2 linked regions of the Notamacropus eugenii genome follow. The protein of the gene in region 2 binds, or shares a complex with, the protein of the main gene of each other region. Links are inferred from orthologs where the notes say so. Each region holds a gene or a part of one and is shown on either strand. Other genes may lie near its edges.

Region 1 (9,060 bases), about 79 Mb from region 2:
GGCTCCAAGAGGCGGTATGGGGATGTGGATGGGCAGGGAAGAGGAAAGAGGATCCATCGAGCGGGGATCGGTGCGGGGGGAGGGATGGGGGTCCTTAAAACAGGATGCACACCCGGGGAGGGGTAGACTGGGGTCTTCCAGGAAGGAAGCTGGGGGTTGTAGCTGCAGATCCTCCCCCACTCCATCCCTGGGAGTGCACAGTGACTGGAACCAGCCTCTGCATGTCCTCACGGGGAGCCACCTGGCCTCTAGCTCCCTCAGTAAGGGCTTAGCCCACACCCAAACATGGGAGGCATTCCGTGGATGCTCCATGGACTTACAACCCCCAAAAGCTGCCCACCCCCACAGTCCTAGGAGGGTCGGGGTTGGGAACATTCTCCCAGGCTTTCTCGCCTGCTGTCAGGGCCTGACCTGGGTGTGTACTGCTGTGCATCTGGGGGACCAGGGTTGGGCTACACCCATCAGGGCAGGCCAATGAAGCAGCTAGAAAGCAGGATGGTAAACAGGAATGCTTTGGGCTCCACTTGGTCCAAGGTTCTACAGCAGAGGAATGGCTGCTTCCCCAGACCCAGGAGCCTGGCAAAGTACTGGAGGATGGAGGGAGGGTGGGTGAGAACTCCCTGCCTGCTGCAGTCTGAAGACAGCCCCCAAGGGCATTTGGGGGGGGCCAGCATGGGAGGAGGACCCCAGAGGAGTCTTGTCTAGAGATGACCTCAGGGGCAGCCCTGCCCCCAAACCCACCAGACAGCATGGGGCAGGGCAAGCTCAGGGTCAGGCCCTGCACTCCCCTCTCTCTGGCCCTTCATCTGCTCCCTTGGGCTCCTGAGCTCCAAGCCTCCCTCACCAAGGTGGCCAGTAGGCATTTCCAGGCAGATGCAGATGGAGTTTATGATACCCCCCACGGCACTCTCCCCCTTCCCACAGCTCCCAGAATCCATACTTGGTGCTGCTCTGAACTCTTCCTCTTACACCCTCCCCCCAAAAAATGGAATCAGACGACAGATCATGCTTAGTCTGTCTCTAGCTGCATCCTGGTGTCTAGGATGAAGCAAGCGATTAGTAGGTGCTTCCTGCTGCCCCTGTGACCCTCTACCAGTGCACAGGACCTCCCTGACTTCCCCCCTCCCCATACTTCAGCAGTGGTCTCTCCCTGCCTCCAGCACCCTCTCTGATCCTCTCCAATCCGCTTTCCACATATCTGACCCCAGAGGGTAAGTCTGACCAGTCACTCCCCACCAGTTAGGGGCTGAAATACTTAAAAAGTGTGTCCCAGCAGCATCAGAGGCAGGGCAAGGCCCTCCCTCCCTGCTTTGTAACAGGCTCCAGTAACTCCACAGGAAAACTGGCACCTCAGGTACACCACATGAGCTCCAACCCCTACCCCTTTGCACTGGCTGGCCCCCAGGCCTGGAAGATTCTCTCTCCTCATTCCCCCCTTGTGGGATGGCCAGCTGCCTGTCAGGCTCCCCTGCCCCTTCCTCTGTATGTGTCTTCCTGTATCTGTTCCCCAGAGCTGGCAGGGAACTAGTCCTTCCTGTTTTGCATGTGGGTGGTCTCTCCTAGACAGAAGCAGGGACGCTGGATCCCCATCTCTGTGATGTGACTCTTAGCATGTATTTGCTGGCACATAGTAGGTGCTGCGAATGACTGAATGCCTGGGAATCTGGATCTACCCCCCTCCCAGTATGAGCCCCCCAGGGGGTGGAAGGCCTGGGGGAAGAGAAGACAGGGAAAGGGGAAAGGAAAGGGGAGAGGGAGAGAGAGGGAGGGAGAGCATGGCCCTTCATAAAGGCTGACCCTGGTCCAACAGAATGTCCCCTATCTTTTAGATGACCTTAGAGAAGTCCCTTCACCCTGTCTGGCCTCCCATACAAGGAGGGGCTTGAGCAAATAAAGTGAGATCCTTTCTAGCCCTCAAATCTCAAGTCCAGTCCTGCCCCCACCTCCACCCTCTAAGGGACCCATAATGCCCCTTTGAGGGAGGAAAGCCATGCCCCCAGTTGCAAGCCCCCCCATGACTAAGCAGGCCAAGGGCCCCCTAACCCTGCATCTTCTCCATCCTGTGATGCCTTTGCCTGAGGATCTCCACAGATCAGAAACCAGCAGCCAGCTAAGCATCCCACTGAGGAGAGGGAGGTCGGCAGCCCCAGCCCTCCCTGTGGGCCCCCCCCCACTGTGGGTTAGCATTTTCCAGGCCCCGAAATCCTGGAGCCTGGTTCAGTCATTAAAAAGCAGATGGCAAGGCTAAGCCCAGCCCTCAGAGACCCCCTCCCTCCTGGCCTGTCCCGGGGCTTCTTCCAGCCCTGCTCTGGCACAAGGCAGCCAGGGCCCCCCAACCCCCACCCACCCCCAATAGCCAGCCTTATGGGGCATCCCTGCCCCTCCTCTGGCGCCAGGATCCCCGAGGCTTAGAACAGATGTCGGCCCTCCCCACCTCCCAGGGGTTCCCCAGTTGTGGCCTGGGATTAGGTCCCCGAGAGCGGAACTAGAAGCGGGGGCAGATACTCCCATCGAGGAGGCCTGGGCTGGGCCGGAACAGGGAAGCAAGCAACCTCCCGAAAACCAAGTGCCGGGTTCTGCGCTACCCTCGGCTCAGAACCGGGCTGTGATCTCCCCGCTTTTCGGGACTAGGGTCTCTACCCTGCCCCCTCAGGCCCAGGAAACCACCTTTAACCCCGCTTTATCCCGGGGTGCCGTCAGGGTCCCCCTCCACATCTATGTGCAGACCCAAGGGCGGACCCTCCTGGCTGGCTGGGGGAGAGCGCCTGGGGATGCCCGGAGGGAAGGGGGCAGAAGAGATGGGGAGAGGGGAGAGGAGGGAGGGGGAGGGGGCAGAGGGGCATCGGCTCCTCCTCCCTGAGCTGCCCGGGGGGGGATCTGAAGCCACTTACCTGAGCCCAGGAGCTCAGGTGCCCCTCGGGCCAAGCAGGCTCCCGCGGGTCTGGGAGCGGCAGGCTGGGATCCCGCCAGGATCGTACGGGACGAGGGGGCAGGACGCACTGGGCTGGACTGGACCGGACTGGACCTGACGGGACAGGGAGGGATAGATGCTAGCCTGCAAAGCAGGGCAGAGTCCGGCATCAGCGCCGCCGCCCGCTCCAGCTCCCCAAAGAGGACGGGGCACCTCGTGGGACTGGCCTGGAGGCCCCCCCACCTCGTGCATCTGAAGTCAATCAGCCAGCGGGGACCCGCGGGAGGTGGGGGGCGGCTCCGGGGGTCGGGCCAGGCTGGTACGCGAGTTGGGGGAGGGGACGAGGAGGAGCAACGGAGCCTCCCCCGGCCATGGGGGGACGTTCCTGAACCCGAGATGCAGGCCACAATAATGACCCCGGGGGGCAGGGGCCGGAGCAGGGAGAACTCGGGATCCTCCCGTCAACCCAGTCCTGGAGAAGGTGGAGGGAGGTCCCCGAGGTCAGCACGTCCATTCCCCAGACTCCGAGCCTCACAGAAAATACGAAGGGCTGTCGGCACCAGAGGCGGCCAGCCGCCTTCCTCCCCCTCATCCCCCGTAGCCCCGAGCCCCAGCCAGCCAAGACGGAAAGTTTCCCCTAAGTCCCGGGGCCAAAACCTGGCCCGTGGCCCCGTTGGCGCTCCGCAAGCAACAGGTTCCAGCCACCGCGCGCGCTCCAGGCGGCGGCGCCTCCACCAGTTGCACCGTCTAGGGCCGGGGTGGTCGGCCAGGCTCTGGAAGCTCCCGGAGCCCACCTTGAGAGAGAATGAGCGAGCTACGTACGCGCGGGCGGAGGCGGCCACGACGGCGGCGGCTTAGGCTCGGCCTCGCCTTGGGACTCTTAAGTGCAGACGCCGCCGCCGCCGCCGCCGCCGCCGCCCAGCTGTCACTCAAACCCAGCGCGAGAAACGCGCCCGGGCTCCCGCCAGGCTCTTTTGGCCTGCGCGGGCCGCCGTAGCTTCGGGCGAGACCATCGGCGTTCCAGAGGGGAGATCCTGAGCGGAACCCACCCTCGTGCCGCCGCCGCGGCTTCTAGAAACCACGCGACTCGGGACCCCGGACGCAGAGGGCTAGAGGTGCGGGCCCGCGTAGAAAGCCCGGAGCCGGGCCGAGCCGCTTCCTGAGCCTACCCCCCCATTCGAGGCAATGGGAGCGGCCGGGGGGGCGGGGCTTCGGCGCCGGAAGCGGAAGCGGGGCGGAGAGAGGGAGGGCCAGAAGAGAAGGGACGTCTCGTCGCCGGTGCTGCCGTCTCCTCGCCCTCGCCATGATCATCCCGGTTCGCTGCTTCACGTGCGGCAAGATCGTGGGCAACAAGTGGGAGGCCTACCTGGGGCTGCTGCAGGCGGAGTACACCGAAGGGTAGGCGCCCCCGAGGGACTGCGAGGGTCCTAGTGGACCCCTGCAGCCAAGGCAGCGGGGGGGGCACGGACCGGGAGAGGCCAGCCCCCGACCTCACCGTCCTTTGCAGGGACGCCCTGGACGCGCTGGGCCTGAAGCGCTACTGCTGCCGGAGGATGCTGCTGGCCCACGTGGACCTGATCGAGAAGCTTCTCAACTACGCGCCCCTGGAGAAGTGAGCGGCCCGGGCCCCGGGCCCGAGCTTGGGCGAGCTGGGCCCGAGGCGGCCGGGATGCCGCGGGAGACCCCGGCCCTCCGGGGCCCAGCCTCAGCGCGTCTCCCTGGGAGCGAAATACACCCGTTCTTTAAGTGACTCCGTGCGTGGCCCCTTCAATCCAGAACACCAAACCAACGGGCGGGGAAGACCCTCAGGGGTCCTGGGCGAAGCGCCGAGGGCCCCTCCCTCCAGGAGCTGCGCGGAGCCCGGACGCTCCTTCTCACCCCGTCTCGCCCCCTTGGGACCGGGCCGGAGGCCCTGGGAGGGAGGGGCGGTTACAGATGCGGCGGCAGGCGGGTGGCCGGAGTCAGGATCCGGATCTCGGTCTTGTTACCCCCTGGCACCAATCCGCAGCCCCTCACAGGCACCGTCCTGCCCGCTACATGCTGCTGGGCATCCCAAGCCCACTGGGACCCAGCCTCCGGCCTGGCCTCCCACCCCTGCCCCAGGCCTCTTGGGGGTTAGGAACATGTGTTCCTCCAGGACATCGGATGTGTGGGCAGTTAGTAATGCATGTGGGCATTGGTACTGTCACCACACTCTGCTTCTTGCTCTGTCCTGGACATGGCCAGTCCAAGTGGCAGGGAGGGCAAAGGGGGCACCCTCCCCCCATCCCAGCCACACCCCCAAGAAAAGGACCAGCTGATGGATGGCCAAGAGAGGGCTTTACTTAAACATCCCAAGTCTTAGACAGTTGGAAGGCACCTCGGTGGTCCAAACCCTCCCACTCGCAACCAAATCTCTAACTGGCCCTGTGGGAGCCCGGACAAGCCTCAGGATTGCAGGGACCCTGGGCACCCGCACCTTCCCCCATAGCCTCCCCCAGGCAAGGGGAGGGGACACACCTTCCTCCCTAACACAGAAGGCACTGACAGTCTAACTGGGGCCCAGCTCAGGGCACTTGAACCCACCGGAGGGAACACAGGGCTGGGCCTATGAGGTCAGCCTAGAGACAAGGAGGCCCCCAGCCCTAAGCCAAGGGGCCCAGAAAAGGAGATCCTCCCAGCTCCATCCCTGCCGAGGCAGGGCTGGGCCTCCGGTGGATCAGGAGGGATAGGCTGCCGCCCAGCCTGACTGCCAGAGGGGGGTCAGTGTTTGGGGCTCAGACCTCCCCCCAGTCAGTAGGTTCTCCAGAGTAGTGTCACACTTGCCGTGAGTAGCTTGAGTACAAAAAGAGAGAGAAAGGTGGTAATAATTTAGTGTGGCGGTGGGCAAGACAACGCCCCTGTGAACGCACCCTGCCCCAGGCCAAAGGGCCTCAGTAATGCTCCAGCTTCAGGCTTTTGTACAGACAGCAGGTGAAAATCATTCCAAAGATCTGGGGAGGACACAGAGGAAGGAGGTTGTAGGGGGGCTGACAACACCCCCCCCATCCCTCCCCAGCTGGCCCGGGTCTCACCTGCACACCAGCAATGCCCAGACCCATGGCCCCAATGATGCTCAGGTGCTCCTGAATGAACTTCTCTAGTTTGGTGATGCAGCCTCCCTGGGGAAGGAAGCCTTCTGAGGAGGAGGTCCAAAGGCCCTGAATGCCACCTTGAGCCACACAGCCTCCAAGGAATTCTGGGGCCAGGACCCCCAGGCAGGCCAGTCAGGGGTGTGTAAGGTGGCAAACAGCACTCTTGGACAATCATTTTTCCACCTCCCCCTGCCCCAGCCCCCACCTACCTCCACTTTATAGATGTTGGATGCATGGTCTCGCTGCCCACAGCCTTCCACAATGGTCTTACAGCAGCTGTCAGGGAACTTCCTGCCCTCTGCTTCCCCAGACCGAATCCACACGCTATCCTGCCAGTCCCCAGAATTGTTGCTCCCACAGCAATGGAACTAAAGTGGGCGGCAAAGGGGAGGCCAGGGCTGGAGGGGGGCCAAGGCCGGGGCAGGGGCGGGGGGGGTTGTTGCTGGGGAAGGCCCAGAACAAGGTTATGGAGAGGCAGGCGGCGAGGACCAGGGGTCAGCTACGGACACTAACCTTCTGCTGCAGCTTGTCCACCGCCGTGGTCACCCCTTCATGGCCAGGCTGGTGGTACTTAAGGACCATGGTGTCCCTGAGGTTGTCCTTCAGCTCAGAGCTCAGCTAGAAGCAGGGGAGGGGGCAGGCCATGAACCCAGATCCCCAGGGAGGCAGCTCCACTGAGCCCATGGGCCAGTGCCACTCCTCCCTCCCTTGTTCTGGTCTCCATGCTTCAGTCTGTCCCTTGGGCACACTGATGCCAGATTGGGCACCAAGGTGACGTGGGCTGGTGGGTAAAGCCACTCTGGGAGCCAGGAAGGCCTGGGCTCAGCTCCAGCCCACAGCCCCTTCCCCTCTGAGGACCCCCAAACTCTCAGCTGAGAAGCTGCTGGAAAAGCCTCCTCTGGTCCCAGTGACCACCAGGGCCTAGCAGCCTTCCCCCAACTCACCTGCTGGTAGTAGACGTAAGCAAGGATGCCCGCGATGACCTCCAGCAGGAAGATGAGGAGGAGGAGGGTAAAGTACTGGGGGGGGAAGAGAAGGGATGAAGCCAAAGCCTGTCCAAGGGAGGGAGAGAGGAGTGCCCCCAAGGATGCCCCAGGGCAGGGGCACACACGCAAGGCTGGACACACCCAGGACTGAATAACAGTTCTCATGATCTCATGCTCACCTGAGCCAGAGAAGGCAGACAAAGGCCTCCTTCCTGGCATCCCCACCCCGGGAAGGCAGACAAAAGCCTCCAGTCTCCAGACACCACGAAGTCTTCCCCAGCCGAGGGTGGGGCGGGGTGGGGCGGGGCAGGGCGGAGCAGAGGAGACATGCAGGGAGTGTCCCAGGTTAGGGCTAACCCAAAAGGAGGAGGACAGAGGGTGCTAGGGGGTGCCACAGTGCATGGAGCACCAGGCCTGAAGGTGGGAAGACCCACCTCCTCCAGTTCAACTGTGGCCACTTACTAGCTGACCCTGTTGGCCTCAGTTTCATCTGTAAAATGGGTTGGAGAAGGAAATGGCAGACTACTCCAGCATCTTTGCCAGGAAAACTCCAAACAGGGTCACAAAGTTGGGTTCTGCTGAACAATCACTTACCCCCAGACACCTCGCCATCTGCCCCTTCCAAAAGGGCCAACCATAACTAGGTGGTGGCCCGCTGGCCTCGGCCACAACAGTGGGTTCTCCCTCAGTGGCATGGAATCCCCTCCCTTCCTGTCCCCAAAGGGACCTTGGGGGGGGGGGGACTCACCAGCCGAAGGAGATTCCTCCTCTCCTTGAAGGTGGCACAGCACCCCAGGATACCCGTCACCATGACCACAGCTCCAGCCACCAGCAGGATGTATGCCGTGGCCAGGTAAGTATTGGAGGCCAGGAGGCTGATATAGTCGCTCTTGAGGGCCAGTGTCCAGATGCCCACAGCCATAACGGACAGGCCAGTCAGCTGTGGGAACACAGACATCTACCATTCAGGGCCCCTGCTCCATCCCACCACATTGGAGGTACCAATGGATACAAGGGCTTTGGTCCTGGCCAACATGAAGGAGTGTCAAGAAAGCCCACCTCATTCCCCCGACCCCATCAGGAACCCAGGTGGGAAGCCCCAGCATAGCTATTCCATGACCCCAGGCAAATCAGCAGTGGCACTGGGGGTCCCAAGAAACCTCAGTTGCTTCATCTGTCAAGTGGGGACAGTAACATCTCTGTACTGAGATCATGGCTGGGCCACAAGTGTCCAGGAGTTAGAGGTAGAAGGCTCACCTGGGGAGCAGGAATGGTAAAGGACAGCAGGGTGACATTCCTATAGCCCCCTTTCTCCAAAGCATTTAACCCGGTGAGTGAGATCCCCATTTAACAGATGAAGGAGCTGAGGCACAAGAAATTAACAGCCCCTGCTAGCTAGTAACTGCCTAAGGGAGGCAAATGCAGGTTTCCCCCCAGCTCTGTGAGCCAAAGCAAGAAAGCAGCAGGGACACCCTCCCCCTCTGCAGACTGACTCATCAGTCTCCCCTCTGTCCTAGGAGACTGCTCCAGCCTCCCACTGCAGTTCTGCCCTGCTGTCCTCCGTCTGCCCCCCACCTTGGCCCTGGTCTTTCCCCCTCCCTCTGCGCTGGTCCATCTTACCCAGAAGCAGCAATTGAAGGTAAAGAGCAGGTATTTCAGGCAGATGGTACCACACGTCTCCTTCTTCTCGTTATACTCGCCCATCTTGAGAGCCCAGGGTGGGGAGAGAACCTCCTAAGTCAAAGGGGAGCCCTAAGGGAGTGCCAGCGCAGGTTAGGAAGACAGGCTCTGCCCCGACCAGACTCTAAACCCTTCACCCCAGGAGACACAACGAGAGGGATGGGGGGCAGCTGGATGGGGGCTGGGAGAGGTCCTGTCCACCCTCAGACACCTGGCACATTCACAACTGAGGAGTATTTTCCCAGGAAACCAGGACAATGGGCAGTTTCCTGGCAGAAATGACCAGTCCAAAAGACCGGCCAAGGGAGGGGGCCATCCACCAGTCGGCCCTCCCCAGCCCAGGTGGTCTGGGTCTCCCCACCCTCCTCTG
Region 2 (10,762 bases):
TGATAAGCGCAGAAAGGATCATTTCAAACGCCTCATTGCTGGCTGTATTGGGGTAAGCCTCAACTTGGAACCACCATATTTATTATTGCCCTATGAATGATACTGAATCTATTTCCTTTTCTTTCACCCTATGTGGGTCTTGAAACCATTAGGTATTAAGATGCAAACATAAAAGGGCAGCCTCCAACTAGTCTTACCAAGGCATAGAGGAATTGTCATTAAATATAAAAGAAGGGAGCTTTCCTATTGCAGAGAAGGGAGGCCCCATTGATCAGGTTTTCATAATGGCCTTGCTTGTTTCTTACAGAAACCTCTGGGAGAACAGTTCCGTAAGGAGGTTCACATTAAGAACCTTCCATCACTCTTCAAAAAACCAAAGCCGTTGCTGGAATGTGATGTGCTAGAAAGTGAGGATGGATGCTTGAGCAACATCTTTGAACCCTGATATGGCCTTCTGAACAATTTTCCTAGGCCTTCATTGTCATCTCTTCTCCTTCCCCTTCATAGCTAATCTGTAGCTGTTATCTCCACTGCCTCTTCCAGTGCTGACCTGGAGAAAGAACCAGGCTTGGAGATGGAGAGCCAATGCCAGGCTCTAAGAAGAGGCCAGAAGCAATCGCATTGGTGTCATTTCCAGGGGAGTTAGGACTTACGTTATTGTCTAGTTCTCCCAAGATGTCTCCTAACCCACTCAGAGCTCCGTATCTGAGCATTTTCAAGAGAAGCCATGAGCAGAACCATAGTTCCTTGTTGTCATTTTTCCCTTTCCAACTACCTTTTATGCAACATATGTAGAGTATGGGGTTGGGGTCTGTTTCATTCGAATTCAGCAAGCACTGCCACCAGTTTGTGGCTGCGCTACAGGCACAGAAACTGGTGTGTATGGCTTTTCTTGGCAACTTCAACTCACATGCTGGGGGAATGGGAAGTGGGAGGCAGACCTGTTTTGTTTTGCTGGATTGGGAGGATGGTAATTGAAGTGCATGCATGGCATCTTGAATACTAGGAGGGGTATAGACTGTCTGCAAGTGGCTACAGCCAAGAACAAGATCCCTTCAGAGACTGGCCAATCCCAAGTCCTCATCTCAGGGCCCCTTGGGAAGCCGCCTCATCACTAATGACTAGCAGATGTCACTCCCTTATTAGCAAGGGTTCCATAGGAGCAATAGCCACAATCCCTAACCATTTCACTTGATGCTCAGGTGCTTTGTGGGCATCCAAGATTATTGACAAAACTAGGCAGCATCTATTCCTAGGAGCTGGCTAAACCCATTGGCCTTTTCTCCCCATGACTTACCCCTTGTGGCTTGATTCCCATATAGCCTAGTTCAGGTGCCTTTAATAAGTTCATGGCTTCTGATGTTTCAACTGCCTACTGGACATTATCCACATAAATACCACCATTCAGTCAGGGCTCATGAGAGCTGCCCGTAGTTTTGGAAATCCAGTCTAGAGTTATAACAAAGGGTAAATAAAGATCCAGGCCTCCTCTAAAATCTAAATCCAAAATGAGCTGGGCATATTTGGCAAGAGGATTCTGTAGTTCGTGGATCCATAGGATAGAGAACAAGGGAAAGCTGGGAGAAGGGGTTTCACATCCAGTGTATCTATCTGTATTGCACAGACTTCCTGTTGTCCTCCACACATTCAAGTGTTCTGTTGTATTTTTAAAGTTTTTCTGTTGACCACATGGTCAGTTTTGGAACATGCCTTCTCTACTAGCTTTGACTACTGCCTCAGTGGAACGCTTTATACTTGTGTGTGGTTGGGGCCATGAAGGGAACAGTTGTATTTATTGTGTTGTGGTATTTTTTAACATCTTGTGATTTCATGCTAGTTTTTTTATTGTTTTTAGAGCCTTTTTGTAGAAACATTAACTCTGAGGCATATTTCTGCATGTCAGTAAAAAAAAAATTGAGTTTGATACACAACTTTAATATACAAGCTGCCTTTCTCATACTATATGCTACTACACATGGCACCTCAAGGCTGTTCTTTATGCTGTTTGTCCTTCCTCCCCTTTCCTCACTGACTTTGGAACACACTCTATTAACCAGATACTATTGCAAACGGTATGACAGATCTTTTCACTGCACAGCTGACACTTCAAAAAAGCAATCAAGAAGGCTGTGTTGGCATTTAGATCACAACTCCACACCCACTGATGTTTTCTTAGGAGTCTTTTAGGTAGCCAGCCTGTTCAGGAATCATAAGACAATTTTTGGATAGAGTGAAGCATCCCCACAAAGCAACCCATCTTGCCATCCAGGTGTTGTCTCCACTAAGTTGCTGCAAGATAATTCAGTCCATCTGAACTGAATCCAATTCATCCATGAAGCGCCGACATTTTCCCATTAGAACTTTGATGGCTTCACTCACTAGAACCTCAGGAGGCAAGACACCTGTTGATTCCACTGAGACTGTAATGTAAATATATTTAAGAACTTCAGTATGCATGCTAGGAATACAAATAGAAAAGAGACCCCACCTGTAAAAAGCTCAATTATAGAAGACAATATACAGTATTAAGCTGCAGGGAGAAAGGAAATCCTTTTGCCAGGTTGTGGGAGAGTGGTTTTCAGGCTACTCCCATATCACTTTTACTTCCCCCTCCCCAATACTCACATATGTAGTGATCCCGTACTCGGGCCAGCCGCACCAACTTCTTCAGGTTTTCATGACGAAAGATCTCTCTGCTGAAGGTATCCAGACGGGGGTTGGCAACTATGGCTACTTTCTTTCCTGATAAAATAAACCACATTACCAGTTCTGTTAGAAGAAGCAAAATTGATTTAATTAAGCACATAAGCACGATCGGAGCTCTAAGGCCTTCTTCAACTGAATTATATGTGTTCAACACTTTGTAATCATGCTTCATAAATGTTCCAGAGCAGGGTGTTATGATGAGAAATGAACGATATTACAATCATTAGATGCCTGCTATGAACAAGATGATGTAAGTTTAAGAATCCTGAGGGAAAAAAAATTATCTTTCAACTGAGAAGTGTCTTCAAGGTTTTTAAGACATGGGGATGTGAGCATCCCTTTCTACAGATACCTTTGACATCTTGCACCTGAATAACACCAGGTGAAAAGCATCGACTCAGCTCCTCAGCTGCTTCCCCCTCTACTGGCTGGAGGAGAGTGATATCTGGCAATAATCTGTAACTGGCAGTGGCTACAGGAGAAAATTTTGCATGGTCTTTGCCTGGAGAGGAAAAGCAGAGATACCCCTTATCAACCCCCTCATCTTCCATGCTTTACACTGCACTACCATTAACATTTCCAATCCAAAAATTTCAGGGCCCTTTCCCCCCACCCCCAACATAGTTGGACTAGCACCCAACAATCCTTACCTATGCCTTTAACGCAGTGCATGAGGAGGTCAAGCTCTTGGCCAGGACGTAGCTGAGCAATGAGAATGTCATCATGCACAGGACGAATAGTGCCTTCTGGGAAAACATCCGCTTGGTTTCCCAGGGGTATCCACGTCATGTGTTTTGTGTACACTACAGGATGAGACGAAGAATGTCAGTTAAAATTTAGGAGGGAAGTGTTACTGAGGGCCTAGATGGCCTCTGTGGTTAGTTCTAAGCTCTTAAATTTATGGTCTAATAATAGTGGCAGATACTCCTCCCACTTCCTCAAGCATCACTGGATTTACAGCTATAAAAGACCATATAGTTCAAACCATTTAAATTACAGATGAGTAGACTGGGGCTTAAAAGCTAATTTACCTAAGATCATATAAGTAAAGGAGCTGGATTTGCACCTTTGTTTCCCTGACCCTGTCATTACTCACCTTTGTGATTGAGATAAAGTTCATTGGGATCAGAGGAATCTTTGGCAGCTTGAGGATTACGGGTACATTTGACCTTCAGCTGAAACTGCAACGTATCTATCTCAGTGCCATCTTCATCACCTGCACATGACAGAGCAAGAGCGCCATCACACCAAGTCACAACCTCTCCCCTCTACAAGCCTCCACTCTCCTACCTTGGTTCCGGTACTCAAAAAGCCGGGGGTCTGCATGAATGGGAATGAGTCCCAAACGATGGGCCAGTATCTCATCCTGAACGATGGATGTGTTGTTGTACACAAAGACTTTTTCCACAGCCATGGTTGGAACCTAGATACAGAAATGATACTGATCCTTAGAAAGATATATATATATATAACACAACAGATCTTCTCCTCCACCTATGTTTCTAAGGACTGACTACTTTCCAAAAAAGAACCTGGGAGGGAACAAGCATAAGCAACCACAAGGAAATAAATATACAGAGCTGCAAAAAAATGAGCCCAAGTAGTTCAATGTGGCTAGGACAGGGTGGTTCCCTCCTGTCAGCTTCTCTGCCCTCCTGCCCACAACACCGTCACTATCGCCGTCACCACCTCAGCTAATAAGATCCTCCGAAAAGCGTTGGCAATGGCAGCATCAATCCCAACCATATCAAATTCCAGCGAGCTTTCATCCATGTGCACCACATCCACGCGGAACTCCTGAAAGGATGGGGGAGCAAAGGGTCTGTGAGGAAAAGGGCCCTAAGATTCCCACATTCCCTTCCCGGCGCAGGCTGGGTGTTTGGGGCCCCTGCCCTCCCAGGGCCTCCCGTCACCAGCTCCCCCCCCCACCGGGCCTCCCTCACCAGCTCCCCCCCCACCGGGCCTCCCTCACCAGCTCCCCCCGCACCGGGCCTCCCCTCACCAGCTCCCCCCCCCACCGGGCCTCCCCTCACCAGCTCCCCCCCCCACCGGGCCTCCCCTCACCAGCTCCCCCCGCACCGGGCCTCCCTCACCAGCTCCCCCCCCACCGGGCCTCCCCTCACCAGCTCCCCCCCCCACCGGGCCTCCCCTCACCAGCTCCCCCCCCACCGGGCCTCCCTCACCAGCTCCCCCTCCACCGGGCCTCCCCTCACCAGCTCTCCCCCCCCCACCGGGCCTCCCCTCACCAGCTCTCCCCCCCCCACCGGGCCTCCTCTCACCAGCTCCCCCTCCACCGGGCCTCCCCTCACCAGCTCCCCCCCCCCCCCCCGCACCGGGCCTCCCTCACCAGCTCCCCCCCCACCGGGCCTCCCCTCACCAGCTCCCCCCCCACCGGGCCTCCCTCACCAGCTCCCCCCCACCGGGCCTCCCCTCACCAGCTCCCCCCCCACCGGGCCTCCCTCACCAGCTCCCCCCGCACCGGGCCTCCCCTCACCAGCTCCCCCCGCACCGGGCCTCCCCTCACCAGCTCCCCCCGCACCGGGCCTCCCCTCACCAGCTCCCCCCCCCACCGGGCCTCCCCTCACCAGCTCCCCCCCCCACCGGGCCTCCCCTCACCAGCTCCCCCCCCCACCGGGCCTCCCCTCACCAGCTCCCCACCACCACCGGGCCTCCCCTCACCAGCTCCCCCCGCACCGGGCCTCCCCTCACCAGCTCCCCCCCCCACCGGGCCTCCCCTCACCAGCTCCCCCCCCCACCGGGCCTCCCTCACCAGCTCCCCCCCCACCGGGCCTCCCTCACCAGCTCCCCCCCCCACCGGGCCTCCCTCACCAGCTCCCCCCGCACCGGGCCTCCCTCACCAGCTCCCCCCGCACCGGGCCTCCCCTCACCAGCTCCCCCCCGCACCGGGCCTCCCTCACCTTCTCGAAGCGGCTCTGGTCCCACGCATCATCGTAGCCGCAGTAATTTCCCGGGAAGTCCGTGGTATGAACCTAAAGCAGAGGTGCACGTGAGGCTGGAGGCCGGGACCCTTTCCTCCGTACGGATCCCGGCCCAGTTCGTCACTCGAGCCTTACGTTTCGGACCCCGAATTCCCCGAGCACCACGCGGCTCCGCATCTCCTCCACCGCTCCGGAGGCCGCCATCCTAGCTCCACGTGACAACCGGGCGCCCACCGCGCACGCGTACAAGCCTTCTCGCGTCGTCGCCGTGGCGACAAGCGGCCCCTACGTCTCGCGAGACAGAGTGGACCTGCTTGTTTCCACGTCTACAGCTTCCGGGTGGAGTCGCCTAAACATCCGGTCGTCTTCCTTTTGGAGCATCCCACGGTGGGGGGACGCCCGTCTCCCCGACTCCACCTTCACTCCCGGGGGCCGGGCCCTCCCCCCTTCGCGCAGTAGTTGCGCGAGTCCGAGTGACGGGATCCTTCGAGGGACATGGCAAGCCCGGTGGCCCCGGCAGGAGGTACCCGGAACGGGGCCTCCCCAGAGTGGGGGGGCTTCGAGGAGAATATCCAGGTAATGGCCCTAGACGCCTCCCCGGACTGGGCGGCCTGAAGGCCGACAGATCCCTCGCGGGGTCCTCGTGGCTGCCCCCCGCCTCCGAGGACGCAGGTTCTCTCTCCGCGTTTGCGATCTCCCCCTTCCAGTCCCTTGCCGGGTGCTGGGGTTTAGAATTGGAGGCGCACCTTGGAAACCATGCAGTTCAGTGCCCTCGTTTTACAGAGGAGGAAACAGAGCCAGAAAGGGAGGCCACTGAGGCAGGCAGAGCCGAGGGATTCATCTGCACTTCCAGCCTGAACCTGCCCCTTGGGCGGCCCCTGTTTCTCCTTCTCGGGCCCTTGTGGAGCTTGGAGCTGGAGACCCCCCAGCCGGGAAGTCGGTGGCCAGGCCGCAGCGTGGCCCGAGCGCTCGGGCGAGCAGTGGGCTGGCCTCGCCCTGGCCACCCAGGGGGGAGGATGAACTCGCTCCTTCAGCACGTTTGTTCGGAGCCTTTAGTATACATATATACTCAGGGAGATTCAGAGAAGTTCGAAATTAAGTACTTGCACCTAAGGAACCGTGTCAATTTCAGAGTAGATTCCAGGCAATTCCATGAAAGATGCCGGCCAAATAGAGAAAAAACTTTCCTCGGGATGAAGGACAAGGAAGTGTATGATACGTGTACAGATTAAGCAGATGGAAAGTCGTTGCGGAGATCAGACAGCATTTAAACTGGACCTCGAAGGATAGCAACCCAGGAAGGGACGGCATTCCGGGTGTAGAGAGTGCTTCGACATGGGTGGAAACATACCAAGAATGTATTCTGGAACTTAGGTCCTAGGGAGCAACAGCAGAGCATGGGATCTGATAAGGGAGCCTCTTTTGCCTCTGTTTGTTGAGGGGGAAAGGTTGGGGGAGAAAATGTTCTTGGGGAACTCATTCTCTGTCCTCAATGGAGAGAAAGAGATGGGTAGAGGACAAGAAGCGAGTTTGTCTGGCTGGAAAGTAGAACTTGAGCCTGAGAAGTCTCAAAATTTTACAGCAAACTGCTAGAGTTGGGAGAGACAGAAAGGTTCATTTCAGACAGAATGCTCACTATGCACTATGCAAAATGCAAGGCACTGCCCTTGGCATTAGGGACACAAAGAGAGAAATGATACCGTCCTCATCCTCACAAAAATTTCATTCTTATTGGATGGAGGGGGGGATGTGGTTAAGAATAGATTTTTAGTTTTTGTAAATAAAAAGTAATTCTAAGAGGAAGAGGGCTAATAATTAAAGGGAACAGAAAAAGAATCAAGGAAGTGACAGCTCACTTGAGCTTTGAAGGAAACTGGAGGTATAGCAAGCTGGAGGCAAAGAAAGAGGGCTACCAAACATGAGGTGCAATTGTGCAAAAGTTACAAAGGCAAGAAGTGCAATGCTATGGAAATAGCAGTCCAGTTTGTTGTTAAAAGGAGTATATGAATGGGAATAATATGAAATAAGCCTGGAAAGGAAGGTGGAACCAGATTGTGGAGGACTTGAAATGCCAGCTGGATTTTTTGTACTGTTTTTAAGAGCAGTAGGAGAGTTTTGGAGCTCTTTGTGTCTGTGTGTGTGTGTGCATGCATATGCACGTGTGTGTACTCAGAATCATAACTAGATCTACGTTTTAGGAAAACCACTAAGTCTTAACAACTGCGGGACAAAGCCCCTTCCTCATTCCACCCACAACCCCAATCTTCAGATGAGGAAAAGAGGAACAGTGTTATTTAGCTGAATGGATGGATCAGAAAGATCAGTCTGCTATTAGATATTTATTAAATGCTTAGCACAGCACTGGGGAAGACAGCTCCTGTCCTCAAGGAGCTTGTGATCTAATACAGAAAGACAACACACAAAAGGAAGCTGACAGCAGGGAGAGGTACCTGAGGTGAAGTCCCAAAGTAGGAAAAAGAGAGAAAAACTGCTGTGCCTCACGAGCACACACACCTTTCTCTCCTTTAAACAGAAGCCCATGGCCCTGCCTTCCAGACATCAGGGTCCCATCATGGGATGGAGAGTACTGATGAGATGTGAGTACCAGGCAGAGTCAGTCTGGTTCAGATACAAACCATTCCTTTGACCAGCAGGGTGGAGGCTCAGCAGTGATTGACATGGAGAACATGGACGACACATCAGGATCTAGCTTTGAAGATATGGGGGAGCTTCACCAGCGGCTCCGTGAAGAAGAGGTAGATGCTGATGCAGCTGCTGCTGAGGAGGAAGATGGAGAATTCCTGGGAATGAAGGGCTTCAAAGGACAGCTGAGTCGACAAGTGGCTGATCAAGTAAGTAATACTGAGCTTCTAGCAGGCTAAGGAGAAGCAAGGTTCTGTCCCAGCTATTCTATTTGTGTCCCCTTCTTCAAGCAGGATGTATCATGCCAGTCAGATCAGAATCTCCTCTTCTGAAAGATATCTGCAATTTTTTCCATGGAGAAAAAAGCAACAGAGCCTAAAGCTAGTTTCTAGAAACCAAAGTAGAATCTCAGTGGATCAGCTTTATCTCTTTCTCTCAGATGTGGCAGGCAGGGAAGAGACAGGCCTCCAAGGCCTTCAGCCTCTATGCTAATATCGACATCCTCAGGCCTTACTTTGATGTGGAACCTGCCCAAGTTCGAAGCCGGTAAGAGTTTTCTTTCTCCTAGCTGCTCTCCCTGGCCCGGGCCAGGCCCACAACAGCAGCTGTGCTGTCTCTGCTTCCCTAATTCCCATATGAACTCCCTTTGGCCAGGTCTTGGGGGGGTCATGAGTAGAATCCTGATCTTAGGGCCAACTGGGCGCCTGTGAAGGTCACACTCCACCTGGTTCTTCACAAGAGCACACAGGTTCTAAAAGGAGAGAGGTAAGGTGTTTACCTGCATCTCCTCATTTTTCTTCACTTTCTATCACAGTCATTACTGTGCTCAGCCTTTCTCCCAACCCCCTAAGATGAGTACAACGTAGAATGTTAAGAGACTAGTAGTGGAAAGAGCATCTGGGTTCAAATCTAGGTTTTTATACCAAGTAGCTCTGAGATTTGGGGGAAGTCAGTTTACTTCTTTGAGCCTCAGTTTCCTAATTGGCAAAATAGGGAAAGTTCTTGCCCTGCCTACTTATAGGACTGTGTGTTGTGTTTCATAAACTTTAATCAAGACATAAAGGTAGGACTGTAAACTTGAACAAGGCCTTTAGACTCTCAAGCCTTTTTATTCATCCATAAAATGAAAGTGTTAAGCTGCATTGTACATTTCAACTCTAAATACAGTAATCCTAACAGTGATGGGGAACCTGTGGCCTTGAGGTCATATATGGCCTTTACACATCTTTGACAGAATCCAAACATCACAGAAAAAATTTTTCTGAACGGTCAAAGAGCTGTACTTGAGGACTAAGTGGGCCACATATGTCCTCAAGGCCACAGGTTCCCCATCCCTGGTCTAGGGAAAACAGGAGAATCATTTTTCAGTAACATTAGACACCTCCTACCCCCAATAACATAAACACACTTTTAATGCAGTCCACAATTTCGCAGTCCCCCTGCTAGACCTCTCCAAGATCTCCTTATTTCCCGTGGACCCAATCATCCTCAAATACTTTCCCCTCCTGGTGACAGTGAATAGTGGAAGAAAGAGATCCCTCCTAGAAAAAGTTACCCGCAACCCTGCCCTACTCTCAAACCTCCTATCTTATAGGCTCCTGGAGTCCATGATCCCTGTCAAGATGGTCAATTTTCCCCAGGTATGTGCTAATGATCCCTTTTGTCACTTGATGTCCCCAGCACCGTTCCCAAGTAGAAAATGATAGCCCAGGAAGGAGCAGTGGTTAGAATGTGCTGGAGCTTGGAAGGCCTGGGCAAAACCACTGAGAGGAAGGGTGGGAAACCTGGCCCAGGACTCGGGAAAGAGCTCCCAGAGAACAGTTAGGGGCCTGTGAGGGCAGAAGTAGAAGGGAAGCAGTCATTTGAACTTCCCAAGCTGACCTAGTGTCTCCACAGAAAATTGCTGGCGAACTCTATGGGCCTCTCATGCTGGTGTTCACCCTGGTTGCCATTCTTCTCCATGGGATGAAGACGTCTGATACCATTATCGTAAGCAGATGAGGGGGGTGGAAACTAATGGAAGAACTCTCCAGGGTTGCCCTGTTGAGCTCCAGGGTATCACAGATGAAGTGGGAAACCCTGGGACTTGATGGCTTCAGAAGAGCTAACTGAATGGGACTCAGACTCTTGAGAGAGGTGGGAGTGGGAGACCCTATGTGGTTAAATCAATCCTCCCCTCCTCTTTCCCCTACCCCAGCGGGAAGGTACCCTGATGGGCACTGCCATTGGCACCTGCTTTGGCTACTGGCTGGGCGTCTCATCCTTCATTTACTTTTTGGCTTACTTGTGTAATGCACAGATCACCATGCTCCAGATGCTGGCACTGCTGGTAAGAGGGCCTGAGTGGGGAGGGAGGGCAGTAGCAGACAGAGCAGCCTCTCTAGCACTTACCCTTAGCCAGCCCTGGGGTGGAATTGGGAGGTTCTGGGGCCTGCCACCAAATGCCATCTCCTCTTCTCATCCCTCAGGGCTAT

Evidence for each region. The genes of interacting proteins can lie anywhere in the genome.
Region 1: POLR1C (region 2) and POLR2L share a complex: the UniProt entries of both Homo sapiens proteins name them as parts of the pol I pre-initiation complex. The link is inferred for Notamacropus eugenii from reciprocal best matches to the Homo sapiens genes POLR1C and POLR2L.

What each region holds. Positions count from the first base shown.
Region 1 is NC_092873.1:27,458,053-27,467,112, forward strand, and holds POLR2L (DNA-directed RNA polymerases I, II, and III subunit RPABC5), read left to right. Parts: upstream 1-4,121; 5' UTR 4,122-4,214; coding exon 4,215-4,309; intron 4,310-4,418; coding exon 4,419-4,527; 3' UTR 4,528-4,661; downstream 4,662-9,060. Other genes in the region: CD151 antigen, read right to left, coding at 5,824-5,883, 5,965-6,051, 6,234-6,392, 6,538-6,642, 6,969-7,043, 7,759-7,950, 8,631-8,714. UniProt on the Homo sapiens protein: DNA-dependent RNA polymerase catalyzes the transcription of DNA into RNA using the four ribonucleoside triphosphates as substrates.
Region 2 is NC_092873.1:106,460,256-106,471,017, reverse strand, and holds POLR1C (DNA-directed RNA polymerases I and III subunit RPAC1), read right to left. Parts: upstream 6,030-10,762; 5' UTR 5,850-6,029; coding exon 5,781-5,849; intron 5,697-5,780; coding exon 5,625-5,696; intron 4,504-5,624; coding exon 4,396-4,503; intron 4,130-4,395; coding exon 3,997-4,129; intron 3,923-3,996; coding exon 3,803-3,922; intron 3,510-3,802; coding exon 3,357-3,509; intron 3,209-3,356; coding exon 3,059-3,208; intron 2,743-3,058; coding exon 2,626-2,742; intron 2,421-2,625; coding exon 2,302-2,420; 3' UTR 1,915-2,301; downstream 1-1,914. Other genes in the region: XPO5 (exportin-5), read left to right, coding at 1-52, 308-445; protein YIPF3, read left to right, coding at 6,141-6,221, 8,297-8,497, 8,728-8,834, 9,883-9,928, 10,185-10,277, 10,486-10,617, 10,757-10,762. UniProt on the Homo sapiens protein: DNA-dependent RNA polymerase catalyzes the transcription of DNA into RNA using the four ribonucleoside triphosphates as substrates.